Cricetulus griseus: one gene and its partners. The protein of the gene in region 1 interacts with the protein of each later gene in a pairwise test. Links are inferred from orthologs where the notes say so. Each region holds a gene or a part of one and is shown on either strand. Other genes may lie near its edges. The genes, in order: Grb10, Gigyf2, Egfr, Igf1r, Gigyf1 and Raf1.

Region 1 (3,054 bases):
AACACCTAATAATATAACAGAGGCTACCTATTAAAACTCTAAAAACCCAAAGCATTTGGCATTTTCCTTCTCAACTTAGTCCTGGTGGCTACACGGAGTTTTCATTTGGAAAAGAAAATCACAGGCAGAGATTACAAAGTCAAACAGGCTCCAAAACAACCCTGAGCTGTCCCCTTTACATTCATGTCAATTAAATACAAAAATAAAAGTCAAATGTCCTTCAGTCTCTGGCTAGGGGTGCTGGGTACCCACTACCCCAGGGACCAGCTGTTTCAGGTGGAATTCCCAGCTGCCTGTGCAAAGGCTGGCGAGCTCGGGGCAACTGAAGTCTGCTACACTCAAGGCGGATTGCAGCCTTCAACAATTCACTTCGGCTAGGGAAGTACAAAATACTACGTCAAACCAGCTACGTACAAAATTGTGAACCAGAGTTAAGCCTATTCTTCCTTTTAAATAAAATGCATACTTATAAATATGAGATACACTTCCTAGCTGTCTACTGTAGAGGCAAAAGAAAATGATTATGCACTGTGGGGACTGTTCTGTGTAAACTGGAGAAAGAAATCCTAGAGTTGCTTGTTGTCTGTTTTGTAAAGTTCTGATCTTAAAGTCAGCAAAAAAAAAAAAAAAATGAATATGGTAAAAATGAAATGTCCGTTATCTGTCCCTAAGGGGAAGATCAGTGGAAACCTGCTGCCAGGCATGAACTTGAGAATTATCTCATTGTCAACTGAAATGATTAACTAGCTGCGAAAGAAAGAGAAATGCAATTGAGCATTTATGCTTAAGAAAATGTTTTACTAAAAAAAATGATAAAAGATAGATAAAAAGATAAAAAGTAAAAAGAAAAAAAAATTCTTCATTTGTTGTAATAAACATCTCGTGGAAACACGGGTTGCATGGTCTGTGAACTACAGTGTTTCTATACTGTGGACCAGCTTGCAGCGGACCTGCTTACAAAGCGCTGTTACATCTATCTTCCACTGTGCCGTCAACCGCAAGAAATCAGAAGTACTCCCTGGGGAGCACTTCAAAAGTCGGGACTGGCAATCTAGTGGCTAGCTCAGGTTCAAAGGGACAGTCAGGTGTGGTGTCAGGAAAAGAAATCTGTTCACCACGGTTGTCTGTGTTTCTCAAGGGAGTCCTGTCTGATACCCTCATGCCTGATAAAAATCATTAAGGGGACAACAGAGGGTCCTCCATGGGGGCTCAAGGGAGCCAATGACAACTCCAGCCACCTTCTGACTCCTCTCTTGGAGGAGGAAGCAAACATCATGCTGCTAAAAAAAACCCAAAAAATCAAAACTGTCCAATGTTCACAACCACTGTGAGGTACATCTCACCCGAAGCCATCAGAGGCAGAGCCTCTGCATACCCTGCTCCTGCTGGCTTAGGGGGTTTTCAGTAGGGTGCAGAGGTCATCAAGCAAAGACTCAAAGCCAGCCAATGCTGGCACCCTCTGCAGTGTTTCCTTATCTTTATCACCATAGATGTTCAGAGTGACAGAGCACAAGGTCAACAAGTTGACATTTTCTCATTAGATCCTTTCACCCCACTATCCCACCCCACCCCTGTGGGAGAACTGAAATGACTGAGGCTACTGCAGAGGGTAAAGGCAGCAATTATTCTACAACAGTGGGTGGCTATGAAAATGTGAGGCACAGGGCACCCCAGATGGACTATGTGGCATCCACAATGAATACCAATGTGTTACAAGAAGGCTTGCTGACATCAGTCTGAAGCTGAGGTCATGCAGCTGTGCTGTGCTGGGGAACAGTGAGTTTTCCAAAGTAATGAGGTCTCCTGCACTGTGGAGAACGAGACACACTAATAATAAATGACCAGACATCAGCACAACAACAATGATGACCAGACTGTGGTAGCTCGACTGAGTCCACAAAACATGCGTGGTGTCAACTGCGGTTGACACTTTTTATCTCATTATTTTATTTTATTTTATTTTATTTTTTAAAACAAAAGCTTTTCAAGTAGAATGGGAACTACTGGGGTATCTATAATGTAGGAGCCAAATCCACACTGTGGCAACCTGTGGAAAGCAGGATGCCCTTGAGAAAACTTTGGGGACCAATTTTTCAGGCTGAAGACTGCCAATTCAAAATTCTTTGTCTCATCTGGGTTGCAAAGCCACATCCCCTCCTACCATATAGGCTGAGTACAACATTGACAACGAAGAAGGAGTGCAAAAAAGTGATCAATACAAAAAGTAAACATCGCGGTTTTGTCAAGATTATTCCAGGGCAAGAGTTCATTTCCAATCATTTCTCTGCGGTTTTCACCCTACGTGGCCTAATCAAAATTATCATTCCAGTTTCTTCCCACACTTGCACTGGATCTCATCCCTCCCCCAATTTAAATGGCTGACGCAGAGGGAGGTGGTCCTGCTTGATCCGCAGCGGCAAATCTTTGTGAAGTCCAATAACTAATTGATGTTGGTCGGTTGGCACCGATCAGAAAGCCATGATGTTCTGAGTTGTTGGGTGGGAGTAGGTGTGTGTTCTCACCCTCATGCAGGCCTCTCTTCTCCGTTCCAGTGTTGCTGCCTCCAGCCTCTGTGATAGGGCAAGGAGGTCATAAGGCCACACGGATGCAGTGGTGCTTCAGCTTGCAGGGCAGAACACCTTTGTTGAGCTGGTAGAAGTCGACCAGCTGAATCAGATCGGAGAACTTGGTGTTCCCATCATCCAGAGTGAAGAATGTCTGCCCATCATCCTCGCACTGCAGAGACACAGAAAGTACTTGCCACATTAGAGGATGTGACTTTGGGGGATACCCTGTGGCCTGTGGTCAGCAGCAAATTTGCCTGCTTATGGTTCTGTTCCTGAGAGCCACACACAAAGTTGGCAAGGTAGGTCAGAAGACATGGTGTGAAGGGAGCCAGTATTTGTGCCTGGTGCTGTAACCACACTTTCTAATACTGAGAGGGGGACAGGAGTACAACTTCTCGTTGGTAGCCACTTAACTATCAGTTAGGTCCTCTATAATTTTGAGTAGTCATGAGATACACTGGCTCAATTCCTTCACTGAAAACAGTCA
Region 2 (3,202 bases), on another chromosome or scaffold:
TGTTGGATCTTTGAGATTTGATAGTTTACATTTTCTGAAAGACAAATTGGCAGGATTCATAAAGAGGCATAAAATCCGCATATTCTACTAGAAATGATAACTATGCTGTAGATCACTTCTGGAGATGTGGAAGACGCATTGTATGTAGCACAGAGCATTTGAGACTGTGCAGAGCAGACTTTGGTAAACTAGGAGGGACTGGCAGGCGTCCATACCAGAGCACAGTAGAGCAGATGTCTCAGGGCATTGCAGGAACAGGTGGTATGAAGTAGTGCAGCAAACACTGTACCTGGGGATGGTCTCCTCTGTGGGCTAAAACAGCAAGGAAATGCCCCCGCATCACATGTGCCCATGGACCCTAGGCATGTTCTTCCACAGTGCTCTCTGCACTCCTCCCTTGATGCTTCTGAAGTAAGTTTCTCTAATAAATACAACAGTAAGAACAGAGGATTAGTGTACTGTTTTATACTCTAACCAGCCGGCAGAGATGTGGGGCAATATTTTAGGAACAAATCCCTTCTGGGATTGCCAGTGTGAATAACGTGTATAACTGTAGCCTTTGGTATATTGCCAGCTGAGTTTCAGCTTGTCCTCTGACCTGTATACTGTAAATCAGTCAGGTGCATATATTGCCATAGTGCTGAGGTCAGATGTTGTGTGTTTCCTAATGTATGATACAGACACTGTATCTGCTAGAAAACTTAGGACAGCCATTCTGGTATAGCCTGAGTGAAAGCTTTGAGTTTCAGGAGGGACTTTATAGAGATAACAGGTATCAAGTAGAGTGCTGTAAATGAGGACTGGTAGTTCAGTGACCCTCTCTCAGTTTTTGTATTGCCAGTACTGGTTCAGGTTTTTTTTCTTAAGATTTATTTTTAAAGTAACTAAATTATTAGCGTGTTCACATGAATGAAGGTCAAAGCATAGGATACCCATGGTGCTGGAGTTATAGTGTAAGCTGCCTGATGTGACTGCCAGGAATCAGACTCAGGTCCTTTACAAGAACAGTATGCACTTTTTTTTTGTTTATTTGAGACAGGGTTTCTCTGTGGCTTTGGAGGCTGTCCTGGAACTAAACTAGCTCTTGTAGACCAGGCTGACCTTGAACTCACATAGAAACCTTGGAGAGAGGGGGGAGGGGGGAGAGAGAGAGGGAGGGAGGGGGAGAGGGAAAGAGGAAGAAAGAAAAGAAATACTTTATACTTTTGGGGGTTGGTTCTTTCCTTCCACTGGGTTCTGGGCATGAACTCAGGCCATGAGACTTCTGTGGAAGCACTTTTGCCCTCTGAGCTATCTCGCCGGGATTTTGTTTGCAGACTCACACTTGCGAAGGTGAAGGTGAAGGCAAAGGCCAGCCAGCCATTCTCTTCAAGCGTCCACATCCAAATGCACTGTATAATTGTAGTTGTGCTGTTTTGCTTCTTGTTTCACAGGATTCTGTTTGGGGCATGAACCATAGTACACTCCATTCGGTATTTCAGACCAATCAAAGCAACAACCAACAGTCCAGTTTTGAGGCTGTGCAAAGTGGCAAGAAGAAGAAAAAGCAGAAGATGGTTCGAGCAGATCCTAGTTTATTAGGTGAGAATAGGCCTGGAGTCTCAGCCTGGATGGGAGGAAGGTTCGGGCGATACGAGGGACCAGATAATCATAAGTCACTGTCTTTCATGTCGAGGTTCATTTTACTTACTGGCCTTAAGAGAAGTGGCTAGTAAGTGTTTCCTGGGCATGGAGGTGCAGGAGACAAGCAAACTTGAAAGCATTGCTCAGCCTTTCAAATAAAGATAAGGATAATGGATGACAGTCGAGCTCTGGAAGCAAATATTCAGAGAAGCAGCGCTTGTTATATCCACTTTTAGCCCAGTTCTCCCAGCCAGTAAGCTGGACTTCAGGCCTCTGCTGCTCTTCTGTGGTAGACACCTCTCTGTCTGGTACTGAGGGCTATTGTCCTCACACACAGTAGCTTCCTAAAAAAGCAGACTCCTAAATTAGGGCTTTAAAAGACAGGTGGGAATGGTGGGTACTGGTATTTCATAAATAATGAATGTAAGTTGCTGTGTTTCTCAAATTGACCTAACAACCACACAAGTAGTGATGGAAAATGAAACTATTTTCTATTTTTGAATATGAAGTTAATATACTTCCATAGAGTCCTTCTTTAGAACATTAATATCAAACAGGTTAAAGAGTTTAAAATTCTGACAGAAATAGATGAATAGGTTTCTAACCGTAGCTCTGGCTAAGAAGTCCTTAGGACTTGGCTTACAGGTATGAGAGGTTGCTCTACAGATGTGGCTTAGCTGTTCATGTTTGTTCTCTGCAGTATGCTCTTGGTCTTTTGCCATAGACTCCAGAAGACAGGGACTTAAACATCCCTGTGTGGGAGATGGATGGGTAGGTCCTCTTAGAGCTCAAAGGCTCCATTGTCTTGAAGGGAGGACAACCAGCACTAAAGGACGAGGAACTTGACCATGAAGTGCTGAGGGGACTAACTTGGGCGAGTGATCTTTTCATGTGAAAAGCACTGCCTACTTAAGTCTCTTTCTGGGGAGTCCTGTGTTTATTCACTTTCATGTGTTACTTCTCAATGCATGTATTCTCTGTAAAGTTACAGATTGAGAAAAGTTTTCCATGCACATACTGGATGAATAGCTTTCAACTGGATCTAGAATTATCCATTCATTGCAAGAACAGATTGAAAGGGAACTTTAATTCTGAAACAAACCAACAGAGGGAGCCCCAACATCATTTCACTTCCCAGTGTCCTTCACTTTACTGTAATCATACTAATTTTAAGGGTTCCCAAGTAGCCAGTGTAAACCATTTGGGGGTGATAATATACACCTTGCAGAGTCCTCCCAGGAAGTCAGGCTTCCCTTTCCTACAGAGGATCATAATCCTAAGGAAGTCAGGTGAGGGAGTGTTGTAGACCTAGAAGAAAGTGGTCTGTGGAGCAGCAGAGACCCCTTTTGTTGCCTTGCCTTTCATGGCACTCACAAGCAATTGTTTTTGTAATGTTAGGAAGCTGAGCTTTTAAATCAGTTAAGTTAGATCATGTCTTCTAAACAGCCTCACCTGGTAATCAAGACATTGTAATCTCAAATAATCATTATTTCTTCATAGGTTTCTTTTCCTGTCTTGATTGAAATTAGTTGGTTTTAAAATTACATTTCTTCGGTTGCATGCAGCTCATTGTTTCCAG
Region 3 (3,565 bases), about 4.2 Mb from region 1:
TGACTATCCCTTTGGCTGGTGGGGCATGCCCTCAGGGCCCTTTTTCTTATTGTCCCAGTGTAGAGTACAGGACTTCTCTTTAAGGGTTCATCTCTTTGCAGTTTTGATTGTATTCTCAGCATCTGACTTACTTGCAACTTTAAATTCTGCCCTTTCCCCTACTGAACTACACATTTTTCATATCCCATGTCCACTTTTCCCTCCAGCACACTGTAGACCTGGATAAGAACAGTGAGCAGGAGCCACGGACCTCTTTGGCATTCTTTCTACAACAAATTACTTGAGGAACCGTCTGCACAGGTGAGACAGGACCAGCTACTTACTGCAGTCATTCGGGGCTCTGTTGTTCATGATTTTGGTTTTCTGATTAGAAGTCCCAAAGAGTTTTTTCCAGTTTATTGTATTTGCGTAGCACAAATTTCGGTTTCCAGAAATGACCACATCTCCATCACTTATTTCCTTGAGGGAACGCAATCCCAATGATGTTATGTTTAGGCCAACGACCGCAAGAGAAAATTGACCACTAAATGGGGGAGAAGAAAAATTGCATTGTACATGATAGTGAAAACAACATGCCACCCTCAAATTTTGTTTTTCTGGGCCACTTAGGTTTCCTGAAAACCATGTTACAATTATTACTAATAATTCTGTGAAAAATATGAATCACAACTTTTAAAAAATGCAAGTGCTTTTTAAGTTTCTTCAAGGAAAAGCCGGTTTCTCATCCATTTATTATCTTTAACATTGGGTAAACTGGAGGACTGAGTCATTGGCCTCATGTCATTTCATTTACTGTATTTAGAGTTTTCCTAGAAATCAGGAACACCTAAATGTTCTTTAAGTAAGTTTGTTTGTCTGTCCATCTATCCAGTGTTATCCGGTCATGTTTATTGAGTGAATATCTGTCATACCACTGCACTATATGGTACCATGGTACTACAAATACTATATAAGTTAAATATGTGTCTTTTATAGAGGCAGAGGTTTTTGTTTATTTTTGAATCCCTACCTTAATTCTCCTACCTCCTCTCCTCCAAATCCCCTTTCCCCATCCGCTCTTTCTCGTTTGTTTCTCTTCAGAAAAGGGCAGGCCTCCCATGGATATCAGCCAGCCATGGTATATCAAGTTATAGTGAGACTAGGCAACTCCCCTCATATTAAGGCTAGATGAAGTGATCCGATCCCATAGGAGGAAAGGGTCCCTAAAGCAGGCAACAGAGTCAGAGACAGCCCCTGCTCCCAATGCTAGGAGTCCGACAAGAAGACCAAGCTACACAGCTGTAACATACATGCCTAAGTCAGTACCCTGCAGGATCCCTGGCTGTTGGTTCAGTATCTGTGAGCCTCTATGAGCCCAGGTTAGCTGATTGCAGGCAGAGTTTTTTGAGGTCAGAAAAATGAATGCAGTTTATAGAGCATTGTTGGTCAAGCATGGACACTTAAGTAGCTCCATGGATGAATGGCATAGAAGGATGACTTTCTCCAAGCCCTGATGTCTCATATCTGAGACCTGGAGAGCAGAGCCAAGTGAGATTCTCCAAGGTATGTTCCCATTGAATGACTGGATTAAAGTTAGCAAGACAAAAGGCAATGAATCCCAAAGCCCTAGGAAGAGGACTTCAGGATATCTGCAGGTAGGGAGGGCTGGAAGACATGCCCTGGGGATGGAGGGTGAAGTCAGAGCACAGGTTTATGCCCCTACTGGAGGAGCTTGGGTTGTCACAGTCACATAGAAGCAGTGTGCATTCGTAGGAAGATTCTTTGACACCCACCTCAGAAATGGGTCGGTTGAGACAGGACAAAGGCAAGAGAATGAAAGTTAAGAGATTAAAAGCCAAAGGTTTAAAGCATTATTTTGTAGCCCCCTCTTCCTGTTTATGCTTCTTTCCATTTTCCCCACAGCCTATTTCCAGAGAAGTGACAGTCCTAGGTAGGAGATCCACAACCACCATTTCCTGGGAATTCCCCCCAGCATGAACTCGGAGAAGCCAAGGAGTCAGGGTCTGGCTGGGATTTTTTTTTGCAGGTCAAGCCCCAGCTTTTTGTGAGTCACACCAGGACCTAGTGGTCATCCAGTGGTTTAAACCCTTAAAACGAAGCAGAAGGCTGCAATGCAGTCACTTGAAATCCTGAGCCAAAGCTCATCCCTGGCCTATGCAAAGACATCTCTGAGAGTTAGTATCACAAGTGTCTGACTAACAGAGTTTATGGAAGCAATGTATATTGTGTATATGTGATTATGGTGCTTTGACGTATTAAACAGTTCATGGTATGTGAAGTTAATGGTGGTAAATTCCAGAAAAGGCCATCATAATCAGAAAGTTTTCAAGGCAGTTTGAGCTACAGATTTCCAAATTTCTCTTCCTCACCACAAATCTTAGGATTTCTCTGTTAAAGATCTCCCTCCCTTCCTCCATTTTCCCCTACCTTCTTCCCTCCCTCCCACCGTCCCTCCCTCCCTCCCTTCCTCCCTCCATCAACCTTTTTGTTTCTTTCTCTGTCTGTCTGTCTGTCTGTCTGTCTGTCTGTCTGTCTGTCTGTCTGTTTCTCTGTGCGTGTATGCATGTGTATATCTTTTTCTCTCTGTGCACACATTTCCTTGTTGTGGCTGGAAAAATGTTCGTTATAGGTCCCCAAAGCATGTAGTGTTAAAACATTGCTTAGGTCCCCTTGTGTGATATGTTATATATCTTCATCTGTATCATTAGCAAATATTAGCCAAGAATAAATAAGGAGACAGTCTATAAAACACCTGGTCACATTTTCCCAGAATGTCAAGACAGTGAAAATGGGCAAAGACATAGGAGTGAGGGAAGTTTGAAGGGGACTGAGAAGATATTAGAAGTCAATGCAATGTGGGATTCTTGAGAGGACAGAGAAAGAACAAACATATTCCTGGACAATCTGGTGAACTCAGAATAAAGTACATGGTTGAGTGAACATCTATCTTAATCCGAATATCCACTCACGTAGGTTGTTCACACTGGGGGAAGCTGAGTGAAAGAGCATCTTTGTACTATTTCTGTAACCCTCCTTTCAGGCCAATTTCAAAATAAAGAGCAAGAATAATCTATCAGCCTTTGGTTATGGCTGACTTACTGTTGCTTTGTTCTGCCACGTATTATTTCTAGGTTCTCAAAAGCATGGAGGTCAGTCCAGTTTTCAGGCCAAGCTTGAATCAGCAAAAACCCTAGAGGGAGGAAGAAAGGCTTATACACACAGTGCTAGAAATGTCTTTGTTTTGTAGGAAACATATTCTAGGACTCATGGTGTATGGACAGCGGCAGTGGATTCTCCCAGCCTCGCTGTGACTAAGGATGACTAAGGATGTCCAAGGACGACAGTCCAGGAGATATTTAAAAAAACATTGAAATCCTGCTCCCTCCATGGAACTTTGAATCCCTGATTGCACCTCTTGCAACCCTCAGGCCAATGCCCACCTTACAGGCTGACCATGTACTCTTATATCTATGGAGGATATCAGATCACACACCAGGTTCCTTCTCTGACTGTTTTCATGTTGCTGGTTATTTAGGGTCTCGTCTTAAATACTTTCTTCACTTAG
Region 4 (4,130 bases), on another chromosome or scaffold:
CGCCTAGACGCGCCCTGGGCACGAGGGGCCGCCGGTCTGGGTCCCCTTTCCAGGACTCGGGGGCCCGCGGTGGGATCGCCTTCCTCCCAGTAGAGCCACGCGGACCGCACCCTGTCCGCTTCCCGATTGCGCGCGAGCACCGGAACACCTGGGGAGCGCCGCCACGGGCGCCCGAGCCTGGCGTGGAAAGTGCCCTGCTTAGCAATCTTCGGGGGTCCCCTTTCCCCAGGTGTGCCCCTCCCGCCGCGTCTGGGCTTTCCACCACGCTGCGAAAAAATGCTGCATGCATGCACTTATTTATTTATTTTGCAACAGCTGCAAGAAACAATGAAGCTTTTTCACAGAGCGGGCCAGCGCGCTCTCCAGCCGCGCTGTTGTTGTTTTCAATGAAGCTCGGGGCCGCACTCCCCGCCCACCGCGCCCGCAGCCCGCCTGCTCGTCCGCCCGCCCTGCCACCTCCCGGGCCACCGAGTCCCACCGGCGCCCGGGGCATTGTTTTTTGGAGTCCTGCGGGAGGGGTGGGTGCGTACAGGGCTGGCCGGCGCAGTGCGGGTGGGGGCGGAAGCGTGGGCGCGCGCGTGGCTCTGTGTGCGCGCGGGGGCCAGCGCGGGTGGAGGCGCGGGGGGCGGTGCCTCCCTAGCCCGGCTCCCCACGCCCGCGCTCCGCTCCGCACGTCCCTGCGATCCCGAACTCCGGCTCTTGGCGCCTGCCGAGTCGGGGCCCGGCCCTCGGCGCGCCGGGACTGCGGCTGTGGACGCTTGGAGTGTGCGCGCGGGCACGTGTGCGCGGCCCCGAGAGCGCGCGCGTAGAGCCCCCAGTGTGTGGCGGCGGCGGCGCGGTGAGGCTGAGGTTCTTGTTTACCAGCATTAACTCCGCTGAGCGGAAAAAAAAAAAAAAGCGGGGGAGGGGGGAACCGAGGAGGAGGGAGCGCACCGGGCGAACTCGAGAGAGGCCAGCGACAGGGAAGCCGCCAGCGAGCCTGTCCCGGCGCGCTTGGTGCTCGCAGCCCCTCGGCCCCTCTCCTCGGACCCTCCACGCCTCTCCCGCGCCTGCGAGAGCTCCACGGCGCGCGGCGCGCTCGGCTTTGACCTTCAGCGAGCCGGAGCCCCCGCGCACGGAGTCGGCGGCGGGCGGGGGCCGACGTGGGGCGGCGGGAGCTCAGAGCGCTGCACGGCCGCCGCTTTGTGTGTGTGTGTCCTGGATTTGGGAAGGAGCTCGCGGCGGCGGCGGCGCTGAGGGAGGAGGAGGAGGCGGCGGCGAGCGGAGCCCAGAGGAGGAGGAGGAGCCCGAGGAGGGGGAGCCGCTCATTCATTTCCACTCCGCATATCTGCCCCTCGCCGACCTCGCCCGCGCCCGGGACTTCGGACCAGTCTCGCCAACTGCGTCGCGCTCTCCCGCCGCGGAGGCTTGGCCGGTTGCTCCCTCCGGGCATCTGGGGACGTTTGTCCTCGCCTGTGGCGATTTGGGCTTTGCTCCTCTCTCCGTACAGTTTTTCCCCCTCTTCTGCATCTCTGGGTTTGCAAATGGAGGCCGACGACGCCGACAGCCCGCCCCGGCGCGCCCCGGCTTCCCGACTCCGCCGCGCCGTGGGCCGCTGCTGCCGGCGCTGAAGGGGCCGCCCCGCGCCACCCTCCCCGTCCACGCCGCCTTCCGAGAATCGTCGCCTGCGCTCTTGTTTTTGAAGGAGAGTGAGGACTGAGTTGGAGACTTTTCTTTTCTTTTTTCTTTTTCTTTTTCTTTTGAGAGAAGGGAATTGCGTCCCAAATAAAAGGAATGAAGTCTGGCTCCGGAGGAGGGTCCCCGACCTCACTGTGGGGGCTCGTGTTTCTCTCTGCCGCGCTCTCGCTGTGGCCGACGAGTGGAGAAAGTGAGTATTTGCCCGCCGCCCGCGGCCACTGCGGGAACTTTTCCTCCGAGGGGCTGCGCCCTGTTTGGGAAAACCCAGTTGCCACGGGCGCAGCTGTCGGACTCCCGAGCTCGAGAGCGGAGGGTGGGGCTCTCACTGAAGGCAGGAGGGGAGCTTAAGGCTCGGGACCCCCACGGACTCTGGCTCAGCGCATCCGTGCTCAGGAAGGGCCTCAGGGCTTTCTCTTTCACTGTCCCGGGAGCGCTGTCCCGCGCGCGGCCTGGTGGGTGGGCAGCACTTGCTCCACGGCTCTTCAGGGACACTCCCGCGCGTGGGCACTTGGTGGGGAAGTTGGTGTCTGGGTGGGTTCAGGGTCCCTGCCACCCTCGTCTCTCCTCACCCCTGCGCGCGGGCATCTCCACACCCAGCGCCCATCCCGCGCAGCGCACCACGGTGACAGCACCTTTGGAGGCTTCACCGGTGGCTCATGGGGTAGACTGAGTGCGCCGTGGCGGCGAGCGGGAGCCTCCTGCCCTGCGGGGTGCAAGTTGTCCTTGAGGGGGAGGTGCGGGGTGGGGAGGCCTCGCGGCCCCAGGAAACGTTTCCAAACATCACGGCATGGCCTCCTGTCGTCCAACTTGTTTGGCCCATAAGGTCCCTAGGGTTTTTGGCCTTTAGCATCATCTCACATGATACGATGGGCGTCTAGTCCCCTCGTCCCCCACGGCTTCGTGACTCGGGACTCATCGGTGTGGCTCTGGGGTTCAGGGTTTATTCCCCGGCTTTCCCTAGGGAAGCGTGAGCTTGGGACCTTCTTCAGACTCCTTCGGGGGTGCGAGGCTTGGATCCCCAACTTTGAGGGTCCTTGGGCAGTCTGTAAGTTTCTACCCAGCCCTGGACACCCCTTCTTCCTAAAAGCGTCTAAGTAAAACGTGGTCGGGACATCAACCCATGAGCAGAGCCGATGTGCTTTTCCACACACGTGTGTTCTCAGCGCGGGTTTAGGGGCATCCACAGCCACACGACCCGAGGGGACACCTGGACTCCTAGCCCGGGGGAGAGGTGTCGTGTGCGTTGGTTTGGGCAGCGTCAGTGTGGTAGTGGAGGAGTGGTTGTTTTGTTTTGCAAGCGCGGAGCTCTGGCCTTGGTTTTGTTGTGGCCAGAGTTGTGTTGCACTGCCCCCCCCCCCCGCCCCCCGCACTTCCTTTGTACATACTTAATAAGCAGTATCGCTCCACGCTCGCTATCGCTTGCAATCTGATAGCTTTTGTTTTGGTGGTGTTGGGTAGGAGTGAGTGTGTGTGTGTGTGTGTGTGTGTGTGTGTGTGTGTGTGTGTGTGTGTGTGTGTGTGTGTCTGGGAGTGAGCACTCTCCACAGTGTCAGGAGGAGGGAGGTGGTTTGGAGGGGGTTTGTTCTCGAGAAAAACAGTGTGGCATACTGGTAGTTTTGAGATGATAGAGTAATTTGAACACAATTAAAAGTTTAAATGCAGTCTCCGAGCTGGGGCTGGGGAGGTGAGGGCGTGCTGATGAGTAATGGTTACAGAATGTATGCAGGTGGTGCCTATTAACTTCGAAAAATCATGACGGAGTCTTGAGTTAGCGAGGGGGAGATGATGGAGGCTGCGCACGGCGTGCGGCCCCACCACTGGGGTAGTTAACAAAGGCTGTTTCTATAAACAAACCCTTGAACTTCTTTTAAGAAATGTCTGCGATGGAGTACGAGCAGATCTTTATAGAACTATAGCTGTTTACTGCCTAGAGTAAGGCGCAGACTGGGCCGACACACAGATCTGGGCTCTCCTGTCCTTTGTTTTCCAAACTTTGAACTTACTGGATTGGGCGAAAGGTTTCTGGCTCACTTCTACCCAGGCGTTTAGATGGTGTTTGGGGGCAGGGAGGATTTTTAGCCTTTAAGGACTAAATATGGTTTAGAAGGCACTAGGAAGGAGTCCATTTTACTATGGCATCCTATTGAACTATGCACTTTCTCTACTTTTGTTATTTAATAGAAGTTACGAAATGCAAAGTAGCAGCGATGGCCTTGCATCTTGGGGCAGCATGTAGGCATCTGAAACAGGTTGTGGCTGGGTCTTCATGAACAATATGCTTTGTCCAGAACAAGGGTGGCAGGAGAAGGGTGTTTTAATGTGTGTTGTTTATCATCCAGTGATAATTGGCCAAGCTCTTCCTCAGGCTTCCTGAAATGTGATGGATGGCTAGAAAGCACCCAGAATCCTTGTTAGGGCCTGCTGAAGTCCTGACTCAAGTGGGTGTCTGCCCT
Region 5 (3,035 bases), on another chromosome or scaffold:
AGAGGTGAGAGGCGGTTTGAGAAGTCTGCAAGGAGGGATGGAGGTATGAGAGCATTGCGTGTGTGGCCAGTAGGGTAGGGAGGCGATTGAGATGGGCTCCCAGGTGGAGGGGGGGCAGAACCCTGTCACAGGGTTCTTTGGTGCTCATTGTCTGTCTCCCCCATGCCAGCACGGTCTGGGTTTGAGGAGGGGGGGGCCGGCCCGAGGAAGGAGCATGCGCGCTCTGACAGTGAGAATTGGCGCTCACTACGAGAGGAGCAAGAGGAGGATGGCAGCTGGAGACTCGGGGCAGGACCCCGGCGAGATGGTGATCGCTGGCGTTCCACCAGCCCTGGTAAGATGGGGCAAGGTGGAGTTTGAAAATTGCCCCCATGGGGCCGATACTGGGGAAGGGGTGGTCATGCATATGAGGGATGAGGACATCCTGGGGAAGCCATGCTTCTTGGGAAGACCTGGTGAGCTGAAGAAGGCAAATCCTGGTTTGGCTGGACACTCATTTTTGTGTTTTGTTTTGTTTTCCTTCTCTAACTTTCTCTTCCAGATGGTGGTCCCCGCTCTGCTGGCTGGCGGGAGCATGGGGAGCGGAGGCGCAAGTTTGATTTTGATTTACGAGGGGAACGAGGAGCGTGTGGTGAAGAGGACGGGCGACTTGGGGGAGGCAGCTCTCACCTCCGGAGATGCCGGGGGCTCGATGGTTTTGAAGATGACAAGGATGGGCTCCCTGAGTGGTGCCTGGACGATGAAGATGAGGAGATGGGCACTTTTGATGCTTCTGGGGCCTTCCTGCCTCTTAAGGTACCCTCTCAGGGGCCAGTTGGGGTTGATGGAAGCTGTCCCTCAACTCCTCTCCCACTGTCAACTCTGCCCTTTCTCACACAGAAGGGTCCCAAGGAACCTATTCCCGAGGAGCAAGAGCTTGATTTCCAGGGCCTGGAGGAAGAGGAGGAGGAGCCTTCAGAAGGAGTGGATGAAGAGGGGCCTGAGGCAGGTGAGCCCTTAAAACCTTGCAGGGAAGAGCCAAGTCGTCCTCTAACATATGTGCACGTGCATGTGCCAAGCCAATAGTCAGAGATGTGGAGAGAGACCTTTATCAGGTGTGAAGAGAATGACCTTTGGAGTCATGTGGAAAGCCTGCAGGCACCCACCCACACAGCCCTCATCACTTGTAGGACCTAACCAATATCTCACAGAGCAGGGCCGGGAGGCAGTGTGCGCAGTGCAGACAGCTCAGTTCTCTGCATCCATACTTCTTGGTTGGTTAGGGAGTTGACCAAAGTTAGAAAGGATAGACATACCACCCAAGGTCTGGGAACTGGTACACGTTACTTTGTGCTATCTCACTGGCATGGTCTCCCCCTGCTCTCTTATTTTTATTGTATATGTGCCACAGAGTATGTGGGGGGCAGAGGACAATTGTGGGTATAGTGGGTATAGTCCCTGCCGTTCACCTTGTTGGAGGTAGGCTCAGTTGGGCCTACCAGCTTGTGGAGAATCTCCTCTCTCTGCCTCCCACTCCCACTCCCATGTGTGGCTTTTATACAGGTTCTTGGGATTTCAACACTGCTCTTCATGGTTGTGAAACAAACACTTACGCATTGAGCCGACTCCTTAGCCTCAGCCTCTTCAGTTTTGAGTTCAAGTAGTCATGTGTTCCTTCCAGGTGGGAAGGAGGTGACGCCATTACCTCCTCCAGAAAAGTCCAGCTCCCCATCTCCACTGCCTGCCTTGGGCCCTCTCTGGACAACGAACGAGGATGGTGATGAAGTAGTGGAGAAAGAGCCTCCACCGGCTGAAGGTAGACTGGCAAGAGCTGATGGAAAAGGGAGTGCTGGGTGTGGATACAGAATTGGAGTTGTGGCAAGAGCCATTTTCCTAGCAGGCACAAGAGCCATCCTGTCCCTTCCTCGGCCCCTCCCCATTTTCCCATCTCTTCTCCCAGGAGATGAGATGAGGGGACTGTCTCTGAGTCCTGGAGTTGGCTCACCTCCTGGCCCACCTGGAGATCTGGAAGATGAAGAAGGCCTGAAGCACCTGCAGCAGGTTTGGGGGGGTGCCTGTGCATGCTCAAGGGGCCTCCACTCTGGGGTTGCAGAGACCTTTGTCCCACGTGTCCTAGATCTGTCTGACATGGCCCTTGTGGTATCAGTCCTCTCAGACTTGCCTCTCTCTCTGGACTCCCAGGAGGCAGAGAAGCTGGTGGCCTCCCTGCAGGACAGCTCCCTGGAGGAGGAGCAATTCACGGCCGCCATGCAGACACAGGGCCTTCGCCACTCCACAGCCGCCACTGCCCTTCCCCTCAGCCATGGCGCTGCCCGAAAGTGGTTCTACAAGGACCCACAGGGGGAAATCCAAGGTAGCTGTGGGTAGCAGACTGCTGGGAGTTGATTTGCTCCGTGTGCTCTCTGACGTGCCATGGCCACCTCCTAACCCCTCTCACACCCTTGTTCCAGGCCCTTTCACGACCCAGGAGATGGCTGAGTGGTTCCAGGCAGGCTACTTTTCCATGTCACTCCTAGTGAAGAGGGGCTGCGATGAGGGTTTTCAGCCTCTGGGAGAGGTGATCAAGATGTGGGGCCGTGTGCCCTTTGCCCCCGGGCCCTCGCCGCCCCCACTGCTGGTGAGCACTGTCTGCTCTGCAGGTTGCAGGGAAGGCAACCAGTGGGGCAGCAGCAGGACCTCAGGCACTACCTCACTGCCTCACTTGCTGGGCATGCTCCTGCTGGGCACACTCACACGGGCATGCTCTGACCTCCCGCAGGGAAACATGGATCAGGAGCGGCTGAAGAAGCAGCAGGAGCTGGCTGCCGCAGCCCTGTACCAGCAGCTGCAGCACCAGCACTTTCTGCAGCTGGTCGGCAGGTATGGGGACTTCAGGGCTTGGTGTGGGCAGGGCAGTGGTTGTACGTGGTAATACCGTCTGAGCCCAGTATGTCTGTAGCCGCCAGCTCCCGCAGTGTACGACGCTCCGGGAAAAGGCAGCTATGGGGGACCTGACGCCGCCGCAGCAGCAGCAGCTCACTGCGTTCCTGCAGCAG
Region 6 (2,769 bases), on another chromosome or scaffold:
TCAGCACCTGCTGTGGGTTCTGAGGGATACTCCTCTAAGGAGGAAGGAACTCTATTTCCTTCCCGAGTATGTGCTAAAAGCTAGACGAACCCTTTGCATAGACACACCTCTTCTCTCTAATCAATAGGCAACAGTCTAGCTGTGTGGGATTTGGCTTGTGTTTTTACCTTTATTTCCAGCCATCTATTTATAGCTAACCTGCTATATTCTGGAGCCTGAGCACTAGCTTTCTAGTCATTGAATTACTCTTAGGTCTGTAGGGATGAGTTGGACAGAGGTGGATTTCACAGATGAGGGGTCCTGTACAGAGGGCATCTCTTCAAGCAAGGCCAGCGTGGAGGTGGATGAAGGGTGGGCTTGAGCGGATTGTAGGCAGTGCTCTCATGGCTGTGCTTTCCCTGGTTCCCCTTTCCCCAGCAAAACACGGCATGTTAATATCCTGCTGTTCATGGGCTATATGACAAAGGACAACCTGGCCATTGTGACCCAGTGGTGTGAAGGCAGCAGTCTCTATAAACACCTACATGTCCAGGAGACCAAATTCCAGATGTTCCAGCTAATTGACATTGCCCGACAGACAGCTCAGGGAATGGAGTAAGTAGACAGCTTGGTGAGTCCTTGTGGCCTGAATCATGAGTTGCCCTTTTGGGACCTGGATTGAGTGGCACCTGGGTAGGCTTTTTGAAATTGGGTGTTAATGCATGGGAACTCTGAAGCTCCTGTTCCTCATGAGCCAGATCTAATCACTGTCTGTAGGAACCTTGTGTCCAGGCAGCAGGAACATCTTCTGCTCACTGGTGCTTAATGTGTGTATTTTAGACTGTGTGTATTTGTGTGGGTCTGTGTGTAGATACATGCACAAGTCAGTATTCAAGAGTTGGGTGGTCCTGAGGCTGGAATCAGTTGTGAGCTGCTTGATATGTGGGTGCTGGGAATGGAAAGTGGGTCTTCTGCAAGAGCAGTGCATGCTCTTAAACTCCAAACCATCTTTCCAGCCCTTTGTCACCTTGGATCATCCACTGTCTTTAAAAGGCCATCCTTTAGCTCCTGGATCCTCTGGGTCTCTGCAGGACATGTTACTGAGTGATAAGGTTCCCTCCTGGCAAGTACCAGGCAGTGCTCTTGAGCTTTGCTTCCCAAGTGCCCTTAGGATGAGGGTACAGGAATTCTGTAGTGTTTGCTCCCTCCTCCCCTACCTGGTGACTATAGCTAGTATACTAGTATAAGCATTACAGTTGTGTTCTGTTTTGAAGTTCATACAGAAGTCAGGTAGTGGTGGCACATGCCTTTAATCTCAGCACTCAGGGGCTGGGAGTGTGGTGCAGAGGCAGGTGGATCTCTAAGTTTGAGGCCAGCTTGATCTACAGAGCAAGTTCCAGAATAGCCAGGGCTACACGGAGAGAACCCATCTCAAAACACCAGAAAATAAAATTCATACAAAAATTTTAACATTAAGGAATAATTCATATACCGTAAGAATTCTTTCTTTTGGAAGGTGGGGCTTTGGGGCCCTTCTGTATTCATAGTGTAGCTGTCCTATTAAATCCTGCATTCTCACCACACAGAAAAATACAGCTTATAGTCATCCCTTGCTCCTGATAATCAGCCTTCCCACTGCTGGGTTTTGTCTTTGGACAAGTGGCATGTGAGATAAAATACAGCGTTCTACATGCCTGGCTTTGTTTGCATGGCCTGGCTTTGTTTGGTATGTGGGGTGAAGTGGTGCCCACCAGTTAGTTGATGGCCAGTGAGGCTGTCAGTTACATTTTGAGTGAAATCGATGTTTGATGTCAGCATCATTTACACTTGTAGCCTTTCTGTAGGTGACAGGCTTAGGCTGGGAAGACGGGTGCTTTACTAGCTATAGCCTCAAACAACTGATTGGTTTTTCTTCACAGCTATTTGCATGCGAAGAACATCATCCACAGAGACATGAAATCCAACAGTATCCTTTGGTATTGAGTTCTCAGCTTAGGGACCCAAGAGGCCTTTTTCATATATGGTTCACGGTGCCAGGGGAGAGCTTTTTAAAGGAAAACAAAAATGGATAGTTAAGAAGCCAAACAGGCCCTCTGCAGCCTCCACCTTAACTGGGCTGCAGTGACTGTGTCTATGAAAGTTCCTTCCTTAAGGTTTCTTTCCTCCACAAGTTCCTTCAGAGTTGGGATACAAACTTGGAATGAACTTGAACTCAGCCTGGTTGAATTATATAAAGTTTGCTTGAGAGTTTATTAGTATCTATTTATGCCTCATCTGTGGAAAATGTATTACTGTGCACACAGAGGAGAATGTAAATGGCGGGCCAGATTTTCAGGATTTTGGGTGTATTTCCCATCCTCGGATGCATATGTTACCAACAAGTCCAAGGTGGCTGCTGCCTCTTACTTGGTCCAAGCATCATAATGTCACCCTTATAGTAGACTGAGAATTGGGATAGAGCTATACTAATTATACATTCTGGGACTGGGGAGATAGATAATCACAGGGTGAGTTTGGGGACCTACTGTGAGCTAGTTTCAGCCCAACTCCACTAATCACCTGACCTCCACAATTCCCTATTTTAACTGGAGGGCCACCAATTCAGAACCAGTGTCCAATAGACCCCAGAATGTCTGATCGTTTCCTTTGAAATTGCTCCATAATGTCCTTGAAGTCAGCCTAGAAGCCACTGTTAGAAACCGAATTCCCTTTCTCACACTAACTGTACACTGAGATGGTGTGGCAGTGTTATGCTCAGCTTATGATTAGTGGCCATGACTGCCACACTTT

What was found.
Region 2: the proteins of Grb10 (region 1) and Gigyf2 interact in a two-hybrid assay, tested with the Homo sapiens proteins (2 studies listed by BioGRID). The link is inferred for Cricetulus griseus from reciprocal best matches to the Homo sapiens genes GRB10 and GIGYF2.
Region 3: the proteins of Grb10 (region 1) and Egfr interact in binary tests that used the Homo sapiens proteins (3 or more experiments, as listed by UniProt). The link is inferred for Cricetulus griseus from reciprocal best matches to the Homo sapiens genes GRB10 and EGFR.
Region 4: the proteins of Grb10 (region 1) and Igf1r interact in a two-hybrid assay, tested with the Homo sapiens proteins (4 studies listed by BioGRID and IntAct). The link is inferred for Cricetulus griseus from reciprocal best matches to the Homo sapiens genes GRB10 and IGF1R.
Region 5: the proteins of Grb10 (region 1) and Gigyf1 interact in a two-hybrid assay, tested with the Homo sapiens proteins (2 studies listed by BioGRID). The link is inferred for Cricetulus griseus from reciprocal best matches to the Homo sapiens genes GRB10 and GIGYF1.
Region 6: the proteins of Grb10 (region 1) and Raf1 interact in a two-hybrid assay, tested with the Homo sapiens proteins (2 studies listed by BioGRID). The link is inferred for Cricetulus griseus from reciprocal best matches to the Homo sapiens genes GRB10 and RAF1.

The regions. Positions count from the first base shown.
Region 1 is NW_023276807.1:93,634,031-93,637,084, reverse strand, and holds the end of Grb10 (growth factor receptor-bound protein 10), read right to left. Parts: intron 2,737-3,054; coding exon 2,590-2,736; 3' UTR 548-2,589; downstream 1-547.
Region 2 is NC_048595.1:439,092,595-439,095,796, forward strand, and holds part of Gigyf2 (GRB10-interacting GYF protein 2), read left to right. Parts: intron 1-1,433; coding exon 1,434-1,581; intron 1,582-3,202. UniProt on the Homo sapiens protein: Key component of the 4EHP-GYF2 complex, a multiprotein complex that acts as a repressor of translation initiation. In the 4EHP-GYF2 complex, acts as a factor that bridges EIF4E2 to ZFP36/TTP, linking translation repression with mRNA decay.
Region 3 is NW_023276807.1:89,393,582-89,397,146, forward strand, and holds part of Egfr (epidermal growth factor receptor), read right to left. Parts: intron 3,191-3,565; coding exon 3,100-3,190; intron 524-3,099; coding exon 324-523; intron 1-323. UniProt on the Homo sapiens protein: Receptor tyrosine kinase binding ligands of the EGF family and activating several signaling cascades to convert extracellular cues into appropriate cellular responses.
Region 4 is NC_048596.1:129,269,975-129,274,104, reverse strand, and holds the start of Igf1r (insulin-like growth factor 1 receptor), read left to right. Parts: upstream 1-1,302; 5' UTR 1,303-1,773; coding exon 1,774-1,867; intron 1,868-4,130. UniProt on the Homo sapiens protein: Receptor tyrosine kinase which mediates actions of insulin-like growth factor 1 (IGF1). Binds IGF1 with high affinity and IGF2 and insulin (INS) with a lower affinity. The activated IGF1R is involved in cell growth and survival control.
Region 5 is NC_048597.1:116,445,857-116,448,891, forward strand, and holds part of Gigyf1 (GRB10-interacting GYF protein 1), read left to right. Parts: intron 1-2; coding exon 3-43; intron 44-169; coding exon 170-334; intron 335-541; coding exon 542-795; intron 796-879; coding exon 880-988; intron 989-1,660; coding exon 1,661-1,795; intron 1,796-1,939; coding exon 1,940-2,040; intron 2,041-2,181; coding exon 2,182-2,353; intron 2,354-2,450; coding exon 2,451-2,617; intron 2,618-2,758; coding exon 2,759-2,859; intron 2,860-2,938; coding exon 2,939-3,035. UniProt on the Homo sapiens protein: May act cooperatively with GRB10 to regulate tyrosine kinase receptor signaling. May increase IGF1 receptor phosphorylation under IGF1 stimulation as well as phosphorylation of IRS1 and SHC1.
Region 6 is NC_048601.1:29,220,827-29,223,595, forward strand, and holds part of Raf1 (RAF proto-oncogene serine/threonine-protein kinase), read left to right. Parts: intron 1-417; coding exon 418-594; intron 595-1,898; coding exon 1,899-1,945; intron 1,946-2,769. UniProt on the Homo sapiens protein: Serine/threonine-protein kinase that acts as a regulatory link between the membrane-associated Ras GTPases and the MAPK/ERK cascade, and this critical regulatory link functions as a switch determining cell fate decisions including proliferation, differentiation, apoptosis, survival and oncogenic transformation.